2 linked regions of the Mytilus edulis genome follow. The protein of the gene in region 1 interacts with the protein of each later gene in a pairwise test. Links are inferred from orthologs where the notes say so. Each region holds a gene or a part of one and is shown on either strand. Other genes may lie near its edges.

The links.
Region 2: the proteins of small nuclear ribonucleoprotein Sm D2 (region 1) and small nuclear ribonucleoprotein F interact in binary tests that used the Caenorhabditis elegans proteins (3 or more experiments, as listed by UniProt). The link is inferred for Mytilus edulis from reciprocal best matches to the Caenorhabditis elegans genes snr-4 and snr-5.

The regions. Positions count from the first base shown.
Region 1 is NC_092346.1:9,273,079-9,284,258, reverse strand, and holds small nuclear ribonucleoprotein Sm D2, read right to left. Parts: upstream 4,355-11,180; 5' UTR 4,221-4,354; coding exon 4,216-4,220; intron 1,949-4,215; coding exon 1,769-1,948; intron 1,429-1,768; coding exon 1,254-1,428; 3' UTR 866-1,253; downstream 1-865. Other genes in the region: peptidyl-prolyl cis-trans isomerase FKBP2-like, read left to right, coding at 8,279-8,446, 9,795-9,907, 10,709-10,791. UniProt on the Caenorhabditis elegans protein: Plays a role in pre-mRNA splicing as a core component of the spliceosomal U1, U2, U4 and U5 small nuclear ribonucleoproteins (snRNPs), the building blocks of the spliceosome.
Region 2 is NC_092344.1:16,047,431-16,058,703, reverse strand, and holds small nuclear ribonucleoprotein F, read right to left. Parts: upstream 6,747-11,273; 5' UTR 6,664-6,746; coding exon 6,658-6,663; intron 4,698-6,657; coding exon 4,572-4,697; intron 3,789-4,571; coding exon 3,724-3,788; intron 2,835-3,723; coding exon 2,768-2,834; 3' UTR 2,429-2,767; downstream 1-2,428. Other genes in the region: mediator of RNA polymerase II transcription subunit 20-like, read left to right, coding at 7,925-7,959, 10,532-10,674.

The sequences.
Region 1 (11,180 bases):
GTCTAAGGCGGATCAAAGCTTTCAATGGAACTCCAAAAATCCAGTCTATCATCTGGAAACAAATTATGACCAACATGAGGATTCCAATATATCCCAAACTCTTGCAAACTCCTTGAGCAGGATAATGAAAAGTAAAATTGGTAACTAAGAAAAGAAAATGTCTAAATTACTATTTTTTTAGAAGGCATAATTTCAGAATGGCAAGGGCAACCTGGAATATAATCCATAACTTAGTTTTCAAATCATAATGTCAACTTTTTGAAATCCCTAGTCATGCTAGTTGGCTTGTACATTTTTTTAAGTTTTCAAAAACAAAGAAGCAAGACACACTGCCCAATTCAATTCATTATGCTTCATTTTCATGATGTCATTACTTATTACCAGTATGCTTGTACGATGGGTTATTTAAGTCAATGATGTTTATTCTACTACAAAAATGTATAGCAGTCCTTTGTTAATTCATGTACATGATGTCTTATTGTCATTTTGCTTAGTTTCTTTTGTTAACTATTCTGACATCAGACTAGGTCTTTTTTTGTATTGTGGTTTTACTGTGCATATTGCTGTTTGTTTATTATACATTGGCTAGTGATATAGGGGGAGGGGGAGATCTCACAAAATATGTTTAACCCTGCCTAAAGTCAGGAGCCTCTGGTCTTCGTTAGTCTTTTAATTTAGTATGACTTCCATTAGCACTGGACAAGTACACATTTTTGTTTAGGAGCCAGCTGAAGACAGACACTGGGTGTGGGTTTTTCTTGCTGTGTTGAATACCAATCTACTCTTTGGTCAGGTTGTCTCTTTGTGATATATTCTGCACTTCAATTCTCAATTTATATGTGTACTATAAATGTAAATAAATAACTTTCTCATGACAACATGTTTATTAGTATAAAATGAACATTTGCTAATGTACATATAAAATAATGACTTTGAATGAATGAAAATGACTGAATGTAAAAATTACTTTGTTTTAGACGTTTAGTTTGTGTCAGAATATCTAAATCATGATTGAACAAGTCATTTCTATTCAAATCTGATGCAACAAACCAAAACTATTTTGAACAAAGATCTTGTTTTGTTAAAAGATATTTAAGTCTTTTTAAGACTCCACGGTTTGAATTTGAAATTACCAGCCTATCGAGAGAGAACAAGTCTGACAGATAACATAGTAAATACACAATTCTGCATCTTTGCAGTCCTGTTTTTACAATACAAAATATTCTGATTTTCCATGGAACACCATTGTACATTTATTTGCTGGTAGCCATTGGATTCCTGAGAACCAAGATAACGGAATCTCCTCGTAAGAACATTTTTGAGATATATCTGTCTTTGTTCACTGGCTTGGATTTCTTCTTTCCTTTTCCTGTTTTAGGGGTCTCTGTCCACATTTCCTTCACATTTTCCAATACCATATTACAATGTCTGAAATAATCATAATAAACGAAATCAGATGGTGATGTGAGGCAGATGCTACATGATGAGATTCTTAAGGTTATTGGTATTTGGATTTCGCAGTTTGTTATTTATTTTCATCAATAAAAATATACAAATTTGCATGAAATTGGATGCTCCTTCAAAGTTGAAAAAAAAAATCAAAAAGAGGTTGCATCACTGTCATAATTGAAGAAAGGAATACAAACAATAATATAGATTACTATCACAACCCTCAATGATTTGTCTGTGACAGTTCGAATTAGTTTACAAATGCATGCAATGGGACATACATGTAAATGCAATGGTTCAGTCTTGCTGATATACCTACCTATCAAAAGCTTTCACTCTGGCCAATAATTTCTTGTTGTTTCTGCAGTTGATAAGGACTTGAGTGTTGTTCTTTACTGACTGGGTCAGTACAGACAGGGGACCGGTATTAAACTCTTCTTGTTCCCTACTGGACAACTCTTCTGGAGTCATCTCACTTTTGGGTTTTTGTAATAATGCACTGAAAAATAAAATAAAATATCAATTAACTATGAATTAAATCATGTTCATACAATATATAATGTTAATGCAGTTTAACTTAAATCTTTGTGATATCATTTATCAGGAATGGAATTAGTGGTACCATTTTATACAACTCTAGAACAGTTAAAGTGATGTCTACAAAATTCATATTTGATCTGTATTTTGTGGTAATATGCATTGTGTATGTTCTGGACCATATGAGTATTTGGACCATAAGCGTATGGTCATGACCATATGGGTATATACTCATATGGTCTGGGTAATTAACAGGTTTACTTTTAATACTTAACTCTTCATATAACCCTTCTGGTTAATTGTCACATCATTTAAAAAAGAAAGACACTACCAAAAGTCATTTTATTATAGATCAATTAAAAGATATTGATAACAAGATTAACTAAATAAAATAAGCAGTTTCACCCAGTAAATTTCATCATTAGTCAAAATTATTAGAAACACATTTTATACCACTGGTCATTACTGATACATTTTGTACATGTATGTTTTTATGAGTGAATGGTTAAATGCTGATTTGGGAGGAAAACGTCCAAAAATATCTGTTAGGCCAAAATTAAAAATATGTTTGTTTCCCCTCCCCCCACCCGGGTCAAAAAATTATTTTCCACAAAAAAATCGAAATTATTTTTTTTCCTGAAAATAATTTGTTTCCATTTTTGGAAAGTACTTGAAAGCAGAAGGTTTGATAATCTTAATAAATACACTCAAATTGAGCACAAACAACTGATAAGTGGCCTGGACTATACAAGTCAAACCATTCATGTGACCATGCTATGACAATCACATCCAGTTAAAAAAAAAAAAAAAAAAGAACCTGCCTTCCTGGTCTGTTTACAAAGGGTAGACCCGGGGGAGGGGAAACAGACATTCTTTTCAATGTGGCCTTACATAAGAAGTCAACCGTTTTACTATAAACTGATATAAAAGTGCAAGATAAAGAGTCTAATTACATGTATTTGCTTACAGTTTGAAACTTTTAAATTACCATTAACAGTTCAGAAATTTTTTTACTTATACATGTTTTTGTTTTTAAAAATGATTGACGTCACTGGAATGGACCCTAGTTTTTTTTAGTAATATCTGTGATGTGATGTTATTCAGTCATGTTATAATATTGGAGATCTAGAGCTTTTTAAAAACACTGTACACATAGGAACGACCCAGGACCCATAAAACATAATGGTTCTCTTAGGAAATGTGGGAGTTTTTGCAATTGAGATTTAAAAAAAACAAACTATTCAATGATTGATTATGTGGTGTGGAAAATTAACTCCCTTCTTTCAAGGATATTGTTTCATAAAAATGCTAATAAGAATTTCCTTTTTGTCTTTTTGAAACATACTAAATTCTATTCTGTATCTTAAAGCTAGAAATTACATTTAAAAAAGATTGAAACCAATCGTCGTTTAACGATGCCATAAGTTTGTTTTTTTTCATTTGGATTTTATATTACGAAAATTATTCTGCGCCATGTTTAAACTGGTGTTATTGAGCTCCGACTCATGAATAAAATTTTCTTAAAGTGATGGATTAACTATTTCTTTAACACAAGTAAGTATTTTTTTTAATAGTTTTCGTGCTTAAGTTATTTAAAATGATATTTGGCCCGTTAAATATTTGACATAGAAAGAAGATTTAAGCAATTTTGTTCCGAACCTGAAATGATGTCGGAAAGTGCTAAAAGAATTTAACATATCTCTATATGACTTCGCATTTAAAAAAAAATAAAAATGAAAATATCAGTATAAAAACGTTAAAAATTGAATAAAAATACGAAGTCATATGTTATAGGACTAGTGTCAACTGTGAATAGAAATTGTTTACATATTTGGTTACTTGTTCTTTGAAAATAAGTTGTTTCACTGGGAATTATTAACACATCTCATTTATAAACTAAAAGTGAAACAAGGAAGGCCCTTCTTGAGTTCTGTTCATTGGTTTGTTTACGCCAGATCCGGTAGTATTTTTTGTATTTCTAAAACAACTATATTAAATTCTCGACAATATTATCTTATTGTATGCTACACCATGTTTGTGTTAGGAAGTATGATGAGGATGGAGACCTTTAGTACAGTGAACCGTGCAAAAAAATATGTAAACAAACACTTGTGGTGGTCAATACAACACCAAAATCCGTGTAAATAAGGATGAGAATAACGAAAATTGAGATAAAAACAATAGGAAATATGCATGAATAAGTGATAAAGGATATTAAACTGTTCTTACGACATGATGATGAATTGATGCAAATAGATTATTTGCAGTTACAAAATATTTGGCTTGTGCCGCCGCTTTAACCGGAAGTTGATAGTAAAACGTTTGTACTGGTCCCCTATATGTAATTGCATGTGCTGGTTGAAAACACATAAGGAAACCAGATATAATTTTGGATATTTCTTGAAATCATCTTGGTGTTTTCCTGATCACAGAATCTTCATTGATAAGAAAGATCTAATACAACACTGATCAACTGACCGGCGAACGAAGTAAGATACGACACGTCAGTAATTACACAGCACAAACAAGACATGTAAGCAAAATTGTCTTCAAACGTTTGTACATTTGGGAAATTCTAAATTGATTGAAATGATGGCAAGAGTTAGAACGCTCAAAGTCTCAAGTGGCACTGTTGTCTGTTTGAGTTTTGAGTGTTGTTTACAGTCCACGAAAAACATTTAACTTTTTTTTTTTTTTTACTGTTTTAGCTTTATTACAACTTCAAGCACCGAAGGCGTTTATTTGCTATTTTTTTTTTACCTGGCTACGCTGCAGGACATTGAAGTTATATGAATAGTCTAATTTTTAGTGTTTTTTGATGAACTACAGTTGTAAATTGTAGTTATGCAGACCAACCAAATGCTGCATCAATACACTTTATCGCTATTTGTTTGCCATAACTGGACATTTAAAAGGTTCACGTAAAATTTCAACAAATACAAAATATCTGACATCATAATGGAAAAGTGCAAATGATTCTGTTTGATGACCCATATGTACATGTATTTAGAGTAGACAAAGGAAACAGTTTGTAGATTCATAAAAAAACCTGTGACAGAATGTTATTTTTCCATAATGCACCAATCCCCCCACCTGTTTCTCGTTTCATTGAAAATTTATAAGCCCATTATCAACTTAATAAAAACCTGGGAACTGCTTCTTCAATGTAACATACAAATTAACATCTTCATTGACATGAAAAGCATTGTTGTACAATTTTTGTGGGTTGATTATATAGGGAATCACTAAAGCATAACTGGAGCAAAGTAAGTAAGTAAGTAAGTAAAACTTTATTTGGATTCGGCATATTGACAAACAATACAAACATAAGCTCTAATGAGCTTTTCACCGAATATAAAAACATATGCAATAACAAATAAAACAAGGCATGCAGCATGCAATAAATAATAAGAAGCAGCACCAAAAATTAACTCTAAGCAAATAGATAATACATGTATCTTGCAAAATACCAAAACATATATATGAAGCACTAAAATTTTTAAAAATTTTCTGTTTAAAAATTAATTTTTAAATAATTTATGAATTATAAAGTAAAAAATTTCAAATCTTTCAAATTTTAAAAGGTAAAAAACAAAATTTCAGTTGCAACGCAGGCTGTTAATGCAGCATAAAAAGCATAAATATTGTAACACAAAGTTATCTACAGGCAGAGCAAAAACATTCTGTTCCACTCCAGGACTGTACAAGACTCTTAAAATGTGAGAAGCTGTTAACAGTCCTGAAGTGGTCAGGTAAGCTATTCCATAAAGTAGCAGCAGCAAAACTAAAAGATTTTTTTCCATATGAGGTAGTTCTTACCTGTGGTACATCCAAAATATTGCTGTATCTAAAAGAATATTTAGTGTGTTTAATTTTTATTAAATTTTGTAAACATACAGGAGCCAAATTATTTAAAATTTTATAAGTCTCAAGTGCCATTGTCCTGATGCGTCTTACTTGTAGGGTTGGAACCTTTGCATTCTCAAGAAGAGTTTCAGAGGATGATAAATAGTCGTCGTATACAAATCGTAATGCTCTCTCTTGTATTTTTTCAAGTTTTTTAGAATTTTTCTCTGTACAAAAATGCCAAGCCAAAGGGCAAAAATTAAAATTACTCAAAATAAAAGTATGAAAAATTGTAAGTTTATTTAATCTGTTTAAAAATGATCCAATTCTCTTGAGAACATTCAGCTGTTGTGATGCCTTTCTACACAAGTTACTTATATGTGCATCAAATTTTAGTTGGTAATCAATATCAATTCCAAGTAACTTTACTGTTTCTTCACATGATAAAATATTTTGCTGAATTTGTATAGATGGATTTTTTGCAAAGGTTCTTTTCCCTACAGCAATAACTTGGAATTTATCAGGGTTTGCCTGCATCTTATTTTCTTTAAACCAATCAATAAGCACTTGAGACTCAGATTCTAATGTTGATATGAGATGGTCATAATCCGGACTACTAAAAGACAGAGTATTGTCGTCCGCATAATTATATAATGTACCATGTTTAACAAAATAAAAAATATCATTTATGAAGATATTAAATAAAAGGGGCCCCAATATAGAACCTTGGGGTACCCCTTTTTGGATGTCAGCCCAGCTACTCAGAACACCGTTTACTTTAATTTGCTGTTTTCTATCAGAAAGATATGATTTTAATAAAGATACTGAATGTGGAGAAACACCATATGCTAGTAATTTATCTAGTAAAATTTCATGAGGTAAGCAGTCAAAAGCTTTTGATAAATCCATAAGAACTGCAGCTATATATAAGTTTTTGTCTAAAGCTTTACGCCAGTCTTCCAGTAATCTGAGCAACGTAGTCTGACATCCATGTCCTCTACGGAAAGCACATAAATAAGGGTTAAAAATGGAATCAAAGAAATCGTATAACTGTATTTCAAATATTTTTTCGTAAAATTTTGAAAAAATAGGTAACACACTGACTGGTCTGTAATTTGATTTAAGTAGTGGGTCACTCTTTTTATGCAAGGGTGTAACTTGGGCTTCTTTAAGTTTGTCTGGAAATATGCCCGTGTCCACAGTCAAATTTATAAGACTGGTTAGCTGAGGTGCAACGACAGATTTGCTAGCTTTAACTATTTTTGCTGGTATCCCATCTGCTCCAGTTGCTTTTTTGACATTAACTTTATTTATGATTTTTTCCACTTTTTCTGAAAAAAATCATAAATAAAGTTAATGTCAAAAAAGCAACTGGAGCAGATGGGATACCAGCAAAAATACATTGTAAGTCAGTCAGCGGAACCTCCCTTAATATGAAAAAATCTGGATCCACCACTGTGATGAAATATGATGAACACCAAAAGACATCTAGAGTACAACAAACTGTTTTTGATGGTAATTGCGTATTCCATAGACAAATGTTTGTACAAATGTACATACATGACATACATGTTTAGTACTGTACAATGTTTGTTGAGCTCAAACTAAAGATGATAAACCCTACAGCTAGCATGGCTAGTAAAGGTAGGATGAGAAAAAATTGAACACAATCAACCATCTTCAAACTTCAATTGGGGTCTCAATCTACTGCATCACCAGTCTGTCAGCAGTAATTTTTGTGAGATTTTGAACCCAGCACAAGACAGGTTCTTTGTACATCAATTTCAATAGACCACCTTCGAGTTCATCCGTCACCAGAAAAAACTTGTCAACCATGCCCGCCTTTATGACATCATTTACCAGATAGAGGGGATCACCTGTATCCCTGCACTATTTATGTTCATCAAGGTCTTGGTGATGGTCATTGTGCAAGATAAACTAGAAATAATGTTTGTTTTGTAAGTACTTTATCACAACTCCTGCATCATGCCATGACAGCAGTGCTGATTGTCAATTATGACAATTTAATTTGCAGAATAATTTGTGCAAAAATGCATTATAGTTTTCCAACCACTTGCTTAACATTGGAACAGATTACAGAAGTGACGATGCTCCTAAATGCACAAACAATGTTCAATAAAACCAGAGTTTTTGACCTAAATGTATCGAACTCGAAAGTTGTCTATTGACCAGTTATCCTATCAATTTTCTATTGTTTTCTCAGGGCACTCTAGATACTCCCACTTATACATGTTATATAAACTGGCCATCATGATTGAAATTACCAATAGTGCTGAAGTGGTTGTATAAAACAAATCATATAACCACCTATTATCACTCAATTACATATAATCAATCAAACTTATAAATGTTCCGTCATGAAAGAGAGGTTGTCATTTAGAATTATAAATTATAAATTTTAAATGTATGTGATTTCAAATTCAGAATGAAGATAAGCTGGGTTGTAAATGGTCTGTTGGTGCTGTTAATGGTTGTACAAGCTTGGGCTGGAGAAGAAGAAAAGAAGAAGAAATTACAGATTGGTGTGAAGAAGAGGGTAGACAACTGTACAGTCAAATCTAGAAAAGGAGATACACTTCACATGCATTATACTGTAAGTGTAATATGAGGCAGGCATTACCTGTGAATGGGGATGAAGTTTGTTTAAATTTATTTTTTTTGTAATTTAAATATTTGTTAAAAAAAAAAGATACGGAAATACCGTAACGTTTCCGATTTTGGTTCTGTTGTTAGGGATTTTACTTGTGACGTTATTTAAGTTATGACGTCATGTTCAATGTAAACAAAGAAACGCAATGCATCAGGTAGGCCTAACGTTTATTCATACCAAAGACAAAGAATGATTAAAAATGAAATATTGGTATTGTGTTCCTTGAGTTCCTATATTTTACTAGACTAATCAAAGTCTCACGACAACAAGACCGGAAGAAGGAAGTAGAGTTATGTGTTCTGCGCAGATCCGGAAATTAAAAAACATGACAAAAAAAAATTGAACGATTTTGAGTTCATTAGTACAATGAAAAATTCGGGAAATTTTCCCGATTTTTTTTTTTTTTTTTTTTTTTATTGAATTATTACTGTAATAGGGGACTTCGTCCCCATATAATACACATCTAAAAGAACAAAAATTATTACCAATGCATACGTCCTGAACATGTTTTATATACATCATGGTAACTTTGATAACTACAATGTATATTTACATTTATATATCATGTTACATGATATATAAATAGTTATCAAAGTTACCATGCTTATAATTTAATACGCCAGACGGGCCTTTGGTCTACATAAGACTCATCTGACAGTGACGCTCAGATCAAAATAAGCAAAAAATTAAAGAGCAATGAGGACCCAAACTTACAAATAATGGTGCCAAATACGGCTAAGGTAATCTTTGCATGGGATAAGAAAATCCTGTTTTTCGAAAAAATAAACAATTTCTTTATTATCATACATGTAAGTAGATACTCTACACATATACAGGGTTTGCTCACATTGTGTAATTGAAGGCATTTTAAAACAAAATAAACATGATAAACAGCTACCCATTTTTTCCTGTTTATGCAATGTATCATATACTATATCTGACTTTATACACTTTTTAAACACCCTATTTATCACTCAGTGTTGAATGTATAAAAATCAATTAAGATTTGACTACAAACTAAAGTAAAATAACAATAAAGAAAACTAATTTCCAAAAATAGTTTAAAAAAAATTACTAATGAAAATATGTATGTTGGCAGTACAGTGTATAGTAATATCATTCCAGTAATTAAAAGAACTTGATACATTAAAATATCATCTTTTTCCAAGGAGTTTTATTAGTTTCAATTTGCTCTTTCTATTTCTCTTTTTGTGGTCAAAATGGTGGTTCTACTTTTTTTTTGTCTTCATCAAAGCATGCATAGAAGTAGAAATGTTTTGATAAATTTCAGGGTAAATTAGAAGATGGTACAGAATTTGACAGCAGTATACCAAGGAAAGAACCATTTGTTTTTACATTAGGAGCTGGACAAGTTATTAAAGGATGGGATCAAGGTTTACTGGGGTAAGTTGTTAAAGGATTTAAATATCTTGACAAGAAAGGCTATCATTAAAGTTTTACAGGAATTAGTTGTACAGTATGGGGTTGATGCCTATTCATTGGGATAAGTTTTAAAAAGTTATATAAAGATTTACTGTAAAGCTTGGTATATTTTTTAATCAATGTTAGAATTAAAAGATAATTTGATAAGTCAGTGGATTAAATAAGGAAAAATCTAGTGAAAAGACTGTCATAAATATTCAGCTTTTAAAATTTGCTACTGGTACTTATATCAGTAATGAATTACTTTTTGTTTGATTTTTCTTATATATATTTTTTTACAATTGTCAATCAATTTAATTCATACAATCAAATTACATCTTGACATACTTTACAAAAGATGTGAAAGATGAATGAAGATTATTTAAGGAATGACTGTAATATTTTTTCTGTCTATGAAGAAATAACATAAAAAAATTGGTGCACACTGAATAACGCGCGTAGCGGGTTATTTAACAGTGTACATGTGCACCACATTTTTTATGTTATTTCGAATAGACAGAAAAAATAATACAGTCATTTCTTATCATTTAATTCTAAATTCTATTTTAAACCGTAGAAAACCTTGAAAAAACATTGATGACGTCATGGTCACATGATTAAATTATGTCTATGGGCTCATAACAAAATAACGTCAGCCAATCAGAAGACGTGTTACATCCAAAATTAAATTATTGTCCCTTGAACAAATGTTGAATGTACATGTATCTGGTAATATTATGAATAAGATAGAGATATAGTTTTTCACTATCATCTTCTTTTTAGAATGTGTGTTGGAGAAAAAAGGAAATTAGTCATTCCTTCAGATATGGGATATGGTGATAGAGGAGCTCCACCAAAAATTCCAGGTAATTTTAGTTGATGAAAAAAACAACACATAAAGTGATGTGTTTGTCCAAGTACGAACAAGTGAGGTGAAGAAGTTTGTCATGTTTATAATGATAATTCTTTTTCATATTAAGGTAGATGGGGTGTCCAAATTATAATCCATAGAATTTTTTAATAGTTTGCCAAAATGCAGTTTATATCATGCTTTAAAAAAAAAAAAAAAATGGGTACAGGGCTTATTTTAACACTACACGGTGTTCAAAATTGACAGATTTTGTAAAGATTATGCATGGAAAACCTGATTTTCTGCAATGAAGCGTGAACTTCACCATAGAATTTTGAGATAACTTGTGAGGAGATAGCTTTAACAGAATTCTTTCAATTTTAGAAAATGAAAAAATGGGGTCAC
Region 2 (11,273 bases), on another chromosome or scaffold:
AAATTTCTGGGCTGATAGATCTTGACCTAATGAACATTTTAACCCCATGTCAGATTTGCTCTAAATGCTTTCGTTTTTGAGATATAAGCCAAAAACTGCATTTGACCCCTATGTTCTATTTTAAGTAACGGCGGCCATGTTTTTTGACGGATCAAAAATCGAAGCAAACACTTTGTGCAGGATAATCTAAGGAACTATCATGCTAAGTTTCATCCAAATTTCATTCAGTAGTTTCAGAGGAGAAGATTTTTTAAAGTTAGCAAATATGATGAACAAATTGTGAAAAATTGTCATTAAAGGACATTTACCCCTTAAGGGGTCAATTGACAATTTTGGTCATATGAACCTATTTGTAGATCTTACTTTGCTGATCATTTTTGCTGTTTACAGTTTATCTTCATCTATAATAATATTCAAGATAATGACCAAAAACTGCAAAATTTCCTTAAAATTACCAATTAAGTGGCAGCAACCCAACAATGGTTTGTTTGATTCATCTGAAAATTTCTGGGCTGATAGATCTTGACCTAATGAACATTTTTACCCCATGTCAGATTTGCTCTAAATGCTTCCATTTTTGAGATATAAGCCAAAAACTGCATTTGACCCCTATGTTCTATTTTAAGTAACGGCGGCCATGTTTTTTGACGGATCAAAAATCGAAGCACACACTTTGTGCAGGATAATCTAAGGAACAATCATTTTAAGTTTCATTCAAATCCATTCAGTAGTTTCAGAGGAGAAGATGTTTGAAAAATTGTTAACGACGACAGATGACGACGACGGACGCCAAGTGATGAGAAAAGCTCACTTGGCCTTTTAGGCCAGGTGAGCTAAAAAGAAAATGTGATATGATTGCCAATGAAACAACTCTTCACATGAGACCAAAATGACACATAAATTAACAACTATAGGCCACCGTACGACCTTCAACAATGAGCAAAGCCCATACCGCAAAGTCAGCTATAAAAGGCTGAAATGAAATGAAATAACAATGTAAATCAATTTAAATGAGAAAACTACTGGCCTTATTTATTTACAAAAATGAACGAAATGGTATGGTTCATCAGACCAAAGACATATAATATTATGTATTGTATATTAAATAATTTGATCAGACTACGACTTCATTTTCATAGAATGCTGATAATTTTTAAGTTGATGTGATATTTGTAGTAAAATCTTCAAATTTCAGACTGACCATGAAACCAATAATCAGTAAAACAGACAAGAGACACTTCAGCATGTGAATTCTTATATTTTTTTTGTACCTTGACCTCATTTTCACGGTTTATTGGTCTGAAATTTTGTATTTTGGTTTTCCACTATAAGTAATAGGTCAACTATATTTGGTGTGGAATTGTCAAGTTTCTGTAGTAAAAAATCCTTTTGTAAGATACCACAATTAGTAGGTCAACTTTATTTGGAATGGTTGTAAGATGAACATGTCTGCCGTACAGGGTTTATCTGACTTTCACCTTAAATTATTGTTTTAAATATTAATTTTCCAAATGAAATCTGTTTCTCAGATACTATAAACAATTAGGTCCACTATATATTTGATGTACGGAATGATTGTTACTGTTAGTTGTACATGTCTGTCTGACAGTCTTCACCTGACCATGACCTCATGTTCATTGTTCATTTTTTTGGTCTGTTTCTTGTATACTTTAAGCAAGAGGTCAATCATAATTGGTGTATTCATTGTAAGTTTATTCTCATCCTAAAAATACACGAAATATTTGCCTCAGTTAAGCAAACAATAGTCAATCATAAAAACTTAGCCCTGTACAAATCTTAAGAACTTTTAACATTGTACCAATAATGATTGTCGTCACTGCCAGTTTATCTCTGGTTAAAAAAATTAATTTGAGCATACAGGAATCCCATCTTTGAGAAAATGTATGAAGGCAATCCTTTAACTTTGGTATCACCAGTCTTGAGAAATGAATAGTCTTATCCTATCTTTAAATCTTAACATTTTACCATTACATCAAAACTGTAAATTACGAGGAACTGGAAGAGTGATTGTCTGAAAACATGGACAAATAAAAGACTTGATAACAGAAACAGGGGTTGTGTAAAAGAGACAACAACTCAACCAAAGAGCAAAGATCAGCTGGCCCGAACAATAATGTATACTTAGTTCAGCAAATTGGACAACACACTTAACTCAAAACATAACCCATTTTGCACGCAGGAAAGACAAAGTAATGGAAAGGATATCAGATAGAGATGTCTTGGCTCTGGTTATAAATTAGGAAATACCTGCTTTTGTATACTTTTATCCTTCAAACAAGGCAAAACTTTATAAACTGCTATAAGGAAATATAAACTGGAAAAAGTGAGTAAACAAAAGTTAACATACAATTTTTAAAAATCATTTGATTAGAGCTACATATTCCTGGGCCTATAGAAAACTCTAATATACCACAACAAATTACTTTATTTGTTGTTAAAACAATATATGTACAACATAATAAAATCTTATAACCATGTATCATATGCGATGTTAATTGTTTTATGTTTGTTCCAAGTCTTGTCTGCCTTAGAGTAAATGAGATGATACAAAAAAGTATGAAGATGGCTTAGTTCCTGCTCAATAACCTTTGCATCCATGATTCACTTCACAATTTATAGAATACATACATTAACATGATATTCAAATGGAAATGATTAAAATGTTCAAAATTTATAAAAAGATGTGTCCATCAAAAGATGAGATGATAACAATAATGAATGAATGAGAGATGGTAAAATGGAGATCTTAGTCCTTCATTTCTCCTTCTTCATCTTCTTCTTCCACTCCTCTGATGTACAAAACATTGTTACATCTGAAACAGAAAAGTAACAGACATTATTTATCTAATATGTATAGTCATTCTAATAATTATGATTCAAACTTTCTTTTTGCTACACTTTGAATCTTTGTTATTTTTGTTTTTAATCTTGTTAAATTATTTTATCATACATGGCTGACATTTCATATTTGCCATCGTTTTCCCTTTGGATGAAACTAATTCATGAATTTTCTTTTTTTACATTTTTTGCCGGTAAGAAATTGATGTGTATCACACTTTCAAATATTTTATAATAATAATAATAAACATCTGGAAATTTATTGTTATAAATGAAAGGTGAACAAAGGAACAAAATTCCATTGAATTGTGCATAGTTTATTTGTCCATGGGCAATATTTTGAATAACAAAAAATATCTTTATAGAAAAAAGGTGGCCTTGAACAGCACTTCCAAGGCAATTTCAATATAATTCATATTTTCAAGGGGCATAACTTTTTTTAACATAAAAGGGGAATGTGAGTTAGTACACGAATGCCCCTTAAGTTTTGCAATTTTCAAAAGTTTTCAGATATAAACCTTTGATATAAGAACGAAAAAATCTGGGAAGAATTGTATATGTGAGAATGCTTTCAAGACTAGACAGATAGACATCTGGTATTTCTATGCTACTGCAAAAAGTGTTGTGTGCAGGGGACATAAAGTTAATAAAGATTAAGTATTCTTAGAAAATACATGAAACAAAGCTTAATACTTTTTTTAAATTACAAATTGACATATAGACTATCTTCAGTGTGCATTTAATTAAAACAATACTTGCACAACATTTCTTCCAAAACTGAAAGCTCAAAAAATTAATCTATTTGAAATATTTGCAGTAAAGTGAAAGGAAATTATACATTATTCTTTATAATTAATTAAATACCTGATTAGAACCTCTCCAAGATTGCCTGTCTGAATACCATCAATGAATTCTTCTGTGTTAGCAAGCTAGAAACATAAAATACACAAAGCTTTAGTAAAACTTATCACTTCACATTTCCTTGAAGCTAGATCTACTTATTTTTATCTACATGTACATGTATGAGATATTATAATTCACATCTTGAAAATATCATTACATGTAACTTTTATCAACAAGTTTATCAATAATTCCAAAAAAATGAAACATGAATACTATATAATATATAATAATATCTGATTTAGCATGTTTAAAGGGCACAGCCATTTTTTTTATTTTGTTGGTACGATTTTCATAAAAAAATCAAAGTTAAAACTTTCCACTTTTTATTACATGTATTATTGCCTGACTATTCTTAATTCATTTCACCTAAAATATAAATGACTATACATGTATCTGTGTAGAAGCATTTACCTCAAATATTAAGAATGTGCATTATTTATCATGTTTCAACATAAACAGACAGAAATGATCACACAAAAACTTTAGTCCTGCTTGTCTGTGTTTTAAGAAAAAATCTGTTGTGATTTCAAAAGAAAATTCATAAATAAAAGACAATCAAAATGGATCTTGAAATTTATTTGCACAACAAAAACCAAAGTAAACTAAACCACTCTTTATAGAGAGTGAATTTCCCTTTATTGTCATAATCATGAAATATATTATACTTAACCATTTTGGAATACAGTCACAATGTTTAAAAATAAAATATTTCATGATTATGACAATTTTTTTTCAAGGAGACAAAACTTAAAAGTACTGCAAGGCAAGTCTTCTACATAATGTTTATTGGTGTCTATAAATCAACTGACCTGTAAGTTCATGTAACCATCTACAGATACCAAGTAGCCTTTATATTCCATTCCCCATTTTAGCTTGACCATCACTGGTTTTCCTGTTAGTCCATTTAAAAATGGTTTCGGGTTCATAGGTAAAGCCTAAAAGTAAACAAAATAAAAAGTTAACAAATACACAAAATAGTGTTTATTATATCATACTAAATAAGTCATATAAACAAGTTTGTAGACAGTACATGTTTATAACATTACATGTATGTTCCATAACTTTTTCATCTCTTAACAATAAAAAGTATAATGTAATAAAAAAAAACAGTCAGCTAATTATTATCTTGCATGTACATGTACACAATGTAGGTCCTACATCAACTGACATTTCAAAGCCTTCTTTTGTCTAGATTTATAAAATTGGGTTTAGAACTGAAACTTTTATCTTCCACTGGAAATTCAAAATAGCATAGTTGAACTTTCTGTTTTAGGCTGTTAAGTACATTTATTGACAATTTCTGCAGGCAATTTGTGGTTAAACAAAATGCTCATTTTATAGACAGCTTTTGAATTCATTACATTTCCAGCAATAACTTCCGTTTTAGTAAACATTGTTCGAATGTTTATGGGCATCTTCACTTCCGTTACTATGTTGTGCAAGTGATATGATGCTACAATGTATATTGCACAAATTATTTGGCAAATCAAATTCTTATAATTGCTCAGTGAACAGAATTGCCCAAAATTGTCAAACAGGCTTATTTATAATACACAGTGTTCTAGCCAGGATTTGAAAAGGGTATGGTGCTACATGTAGTTCAAAAAGGGGCAATTTTACGTGTAACTGCCATTGAAAAAAGGGCAATTTTACATGTTAATTAATGTCACTGAAAAAAAGGCAATTATTTAAGCCTCATAATTAATTAGCACATAACTTTTACTATGCATTCTTGTAAATTCAAGTTTCAGTTAAAATGGAGTAATATATTTCAAATTCAATACTTTTGGCAAATTTTTCATGGTTGACTTCATAAATCTATGGTCATGATGCTGAGACCCTTTCAGGAAGCTGTTTCTTTCATATAACATGTATGTAGTTGCTGTTATATTACCAGTCTCACCAATGTATTAACAGATTTTGTGATTTTTTTATACTAGATTGCACTTGATAGATCAGTTAATGGAAGTAAAGATATAATTTTCAAAATATTTAATTTTGAAGTGTATTCAAGTGAAAATAACTTAAAGAAATATTCTAATATGCATTTGCATTAAATTAATTTTTAATCCTTTTACAAAAAGAAACATAAATTTAAAGAATATAGTGTGAACAGGTGGAAAATAAGGGGAAGTAACTTATTTTGTTGATATACACAAATTATGTTGCATGACCTAAAGCTAAGATTATTTGTGTTAATTGACAATTATGTGTTTGACACCAAAGCTGTCAGAAGAAGCCATGCACTTAATGGGTTACTTAATTTGACAGTTTGCACAGGTAGCTGAACTTCTTGTTCATGGAAGATTTACAAATCAGCAGGTCGTCTGAGGGACAGCAGAAAAAAGGCACGGGCGTTGTGCCCTGTTCAAACTTTGTAGCTAGACCACTGATACACCATATCGCTATTTGTCCACCATTACTGGATATCACACAGGTTCCCATAAAATTTTGACGTCATAAACGAAATATCTGACGCCACAATGGATAAGTGATTGTGTACGATGTCAAAAGTTCAAGCCGTCGGGTCAGCCGGGATAATTTAGCGATAAGGTGTATAAACAGATAAACAGACATAGACTAATTCTTAGATTGACATATATTGGAAGATGGACCCATCACTGATAGTATCAGTATTTAGCTCTGCGTCATAAACTATTTTTTGTAGGTTTAAGTGATAAATTTAAATGAAATGCAAGATAATGGTGTAATGCATGTGTTATAGTAGTCTCAAAATGCATACACAAATAAAATGCGCTTTGTTATGACCTCCCCCTTTTTATATGACATCCTGGATTCCCTTTATTTAAAGCGGAATTTCATAGATTGGTCATTTTACAGAAAAGTAGGGTTAATCTAAGAACTGTGCATCGAAGATGATCAGTATATACGTACGGCCATCGTGTGTTTTCTTGTGTGATTCGATTAATAACAACAGCGTGGTCTATTCGTTTCGCCGCCGGTGGTTAATAAATAATAAGAAATTATTAACCCACAAAAAAACGAAACATTTTAATCAAAATTATTCTAAATTTTACACAATACATCAATTTTAGTGAAATTACATCAAAAGAAGCGATTTTAGTTAAATTAACTAGAATTTTATGAATTTAGTTACACATTAATATATGGTAAACTAAAATTCGTTTTGTTTGAAAACAATGAATAAATAAAATATTAAGTTATGTCCCTTGTTGTACAAAAATAATGAAATGGGAGTTGTGTGGTAATTGTTTGAAATAGGTTCAATGCATGAGCTTAAATGCACCTAACTCATTTTAAGAAATCGCAATCTGTATAGGTTAAAAAAAGTTCAAAGTCATTTCATATTGTAGAAGACTAAAAATAACTAGATTTCACTGTGCACTTTTTTTGGTCCTTGCTAAAGATAATGAAATTAACAAACTGTTGAGTTTCAGTTGATATGGTCCACTCAGTGACACAGTTTAAATCTACAATTATTGTCAGGTATCTATTGTCTCTCTGTTGTCCTTGTCAATGTACAGTCCTCTTCAAATCCAGGTTTTTGAAGAGCTAATACTGGTACTGAAAAAAATTTGATGTATGCCTTTTTGTGCTTCTTCGTTACATTTGTTGTTTTTAGTGATTAGGATGATAACACAATGTTGACTGCTGTACCCCTATTTTTTGACATTTTTACCTATTGTGTCTGTTTGTTTTGTTCATGCATCGGTGACAATATAATGGAATTTGATGCAACTGTCATACAAGTGAGAGGTTTAGCTAGCTATAAAACCAGGTTCAATCCACCATTTTCTACATTTGAAAATGCCTGTACCAAGTCAGGAATATGACAGTTCTTGTCCATTTGTTTATGATGCGTTTTGTTATTTGATTTTGCCATGTGCATGATGTGATTATGGACTTTCCGAATTGATTTTCCTCTGAGTTCAGTATTTTTTTTCCCATGAAATAAAATTTACTATTTAAAAAAATGTAGAATTATAGAAAATTGATGAAAATATGTATAAAACTTTTGCTTACTTTTTAAATTATAAAAAATATTGTATCTAATGGGATGCAGGTCGTTTTCTAACTGAGACGTTTGTAACCTTATAATTACAATATATTTATAATAGTGCGAGTCATAAGTAAATGGCCAGTGGAGCATATGAGTACTGACTTTAACAAGCTAAAGGACATGGCTCCAGTTGGTCGTCTACGAGTAGTTCTACGGTATGTTCAAAAACATTGAACAGTCGACAGTGGCCAAATGCAAGTTGGTGTGTGTTTATGCAATCCATCCCACCATTATTAACGACGTAGAGTGATGGCACAACAACCTTAACACCAAAGCTGTCATCGACAACCATTCATTCTATCTTTGACAAAAAAAAGGAGAAAATAATTATTTTTTTCAGCTTGTGTGCCATTTTTAATACTCTACTATTCACTTTATACCTCATTTTGTACCTACTGTTATTACTTTTTATTACCTGCCATTAGTTGTCCTTAAACCATTAAAGTTGTCACCGAGCATAATTACTAATTAGTTTTAATTGAAAATATTGTTATTATCAGGCCACACCAATTTGATTAATAGTTCTTTGGATTTTCCTGCTCCTGTTTTGGAGAAATTGACTTTTCAATGAAAAAAATAATTATCTCTTCTGCAAATTTTTGGGCCGCATGCCGCTCCAAAATTAGTTTATCATTGACATTTTTTTGTTTATCCTTGACATTTTTTTTTCTCATAGATGTTTTTCTTGTGCACATCCATCGATTCAAATGCACGTGTGATAAATAGATTTGTTAATAAAAGGTCAAAAATTAGGATGCCAACATGAAGTTGTGTCAGTTTATTGCAAAGGACAAGTACCATGAGTACAGAGATAATTTTAATGTGCGTATTGTTATGCGTTTACTTTACTACATTGGTTAGAGGTATAGGGGGAGGGTTGAGATCTCACAAACATGTTTAACCCCGCCGCATTTTTGCGCCTGTCCCAAGTCAGGAGCCTCTGGCCTTTGTTAGTCTTGTATTATTTTAATTTTAGTTTCTTGTGTACAATTTGGAAATTAGTATGGCGTTCATTATCACTGGACTAGTATATATTTGTTTAGGGGCCAGCTGAAGGACGCCTCCGGGTGCGGGAATTTCTCGCTACATTGAGGACCTGTTGGTGACCCTCTGCTGTTGTTTTTTATTTGGGCGGGTTGTTGTCTCTTTGACACATTCCCCATTTCCATTCTCAATTTTATAGAGTACCAGTAGTTATGGTATTAAACACACAGTTATTTGAAATGCATTTCGTTTTATTTATGAAGACCTGTTCTAGGAGATAAAATAAAAAATCTTTCGTTAGATGACCACGATCACATTTGTACTCGTTAGATCCATTGTCATCCCCAATCATTGTTTCAGCTGTTCAACAGACATAGTACGAGATCACTCTAACGTCCATCACACATACATCTAATTATATGCATAAGACATGGATCATGTTTTTCCTTTTTTTTCTTTGAAGTAACCCAGTTTGAACATGAAGATAAAGTTTTAAATTGCACAATTTAAAAAAACACATTTTACCGCTCACTCCACTTGTAGAGCACCTGCCTCATCAAAACTCAATTTCTTGAAATATATACAATCAAAAAAATTTCTCTTGCTTGCCCAATATTTTTTGGAGCTTTTGTCCTAAGAAGTACAAATCAAATTGGTGTGGCCTCAAATGAACATTTTGATCATTTTAAGAAAATAATTGTTTAAATTAAACTATTAAATTGATTTAAACTAACAATTTATAACCATATATAATTACACCAGGTACGAAACGCCTCAGTTACAAATCAACGTAGTTACGAATCAACCAGGTATAAAACGACCAGGTTACGAAAAAATTAGCATTCCTAAAAGTGGAAAGGGATTAATATTAGTTACAAAACTTGTTTTCCAATCCACTATAAATAGATATGTTTAAACGAATTAGCATTCCTGTAATTATGTTTTCATGATGTCACAATTCCTCACATTAATGGTGAAAATCAAAATCTCAAAGATATCTTTCTATTTTTCTGTTTCATATATATTTTGGTCAAAGGGTATGGCCAGTGTTTAAAATGCAGTTTAACAGCAAATTTGAAGGAAAAGGAGAGAATATAACCTTTGTTTGTTTGTATGTCCATACATCCCAAAATTGGTTTCTGTTATCTGAATTTAGTTTTCATCAACCAAATGTTATGAAACTTGTATACACTATACACAATGGTTATTACAACAAAACACAGAGCAATTTTAAATTTTGGTGGTGTTACCTTTACTGTTCAAGAGTTATGCCCCCTTACCATTGAAAATATTGCTGAATTTGTCTTTCTCTAACTTAAGTTTTCCTTTACCAAATGTTATGAAACTTATACACAATGTTTATTACCACAAAACTCAGATCAAGTACAGGTTTGGGTGACTTGAGATCACTTCTTTACTGTTCTTGAGTTATGTCCCTTTATCATGTTTATAATGTCACAAGTAAGTGAAGGCATAATCTGTGTCCCTTGGATACGTTCCCAATTTTTTTATTTTTTTAAAGCATTCTAAACTTTTGAAAATATCTAGTTTATGTGTTATTTTTTTTTAATTTTGCACATTTAAGATTGCAAGTATTGGTAATTAGGTTACAATATATGTATATATGCTATTGTTTGAAATTAAGGGCCAAATTTTGGCTGTCTCTGTCCTATATTTTTCAGTTTCCTTTGATATCCCTTTTTGATAATCATATTCAACTTTGTTCTAATTTTGTCTTTGTAGTATTTTTAGCTATGCTGTGCCTGAGGGTAAGAGTGGACAACAAGCAGTTGATATGTTACAGAAAAATGTAGAATTACTAGGAGCTACAAGATCTGGAAACTTTTGTGTTGATTGTGAAACTTACCAGTCAAATTCACAGAATAGTAAGTTATACATTGTACAAAAAAAGTAATTGTTCCTTGAATCATTATTTATGTAAGGGGATCTTATTATAACATGGTTGACATATCTATCAAAGAAGACCACAGAATTTGTTTTTTTTTTGTTGTTGCAACAACTCTCCCATCCTTTTCCTCATTTATTACTCATCTTCAAATATGACCAGATGGTTATTTTTTGTAAGCAACATTATGATGTGTACTACTTGTATTACTAGGCTAGCAGAATTTGTCTATGGTACCCTTTGGATTACCTGGAGTTACCTTTTTTAAATAGTTTCATGTTTCTCAATCTCAAAAAAGTTACAATGTAAGTGTCATTGTTCTCAACTAAAAAATATTTATTGATATTCACTTGTTTTCATTGATAGACCAAAATAAAAAATCTTATTACACTGTAGCAGTCAGCGGAATCTAGAGTGCTCATGCTTATAATCAACCAATATTAAATGACAGCTTATCAGCACATTTCACATACAAATAAAAAGGTGTAATTCAATTTAACAAATGTTACTGCAATAAGGTTCAAACAGTTAAACTTTAATGTGATATGACACAGAAAATGTTTACATGGTAGATGTCAC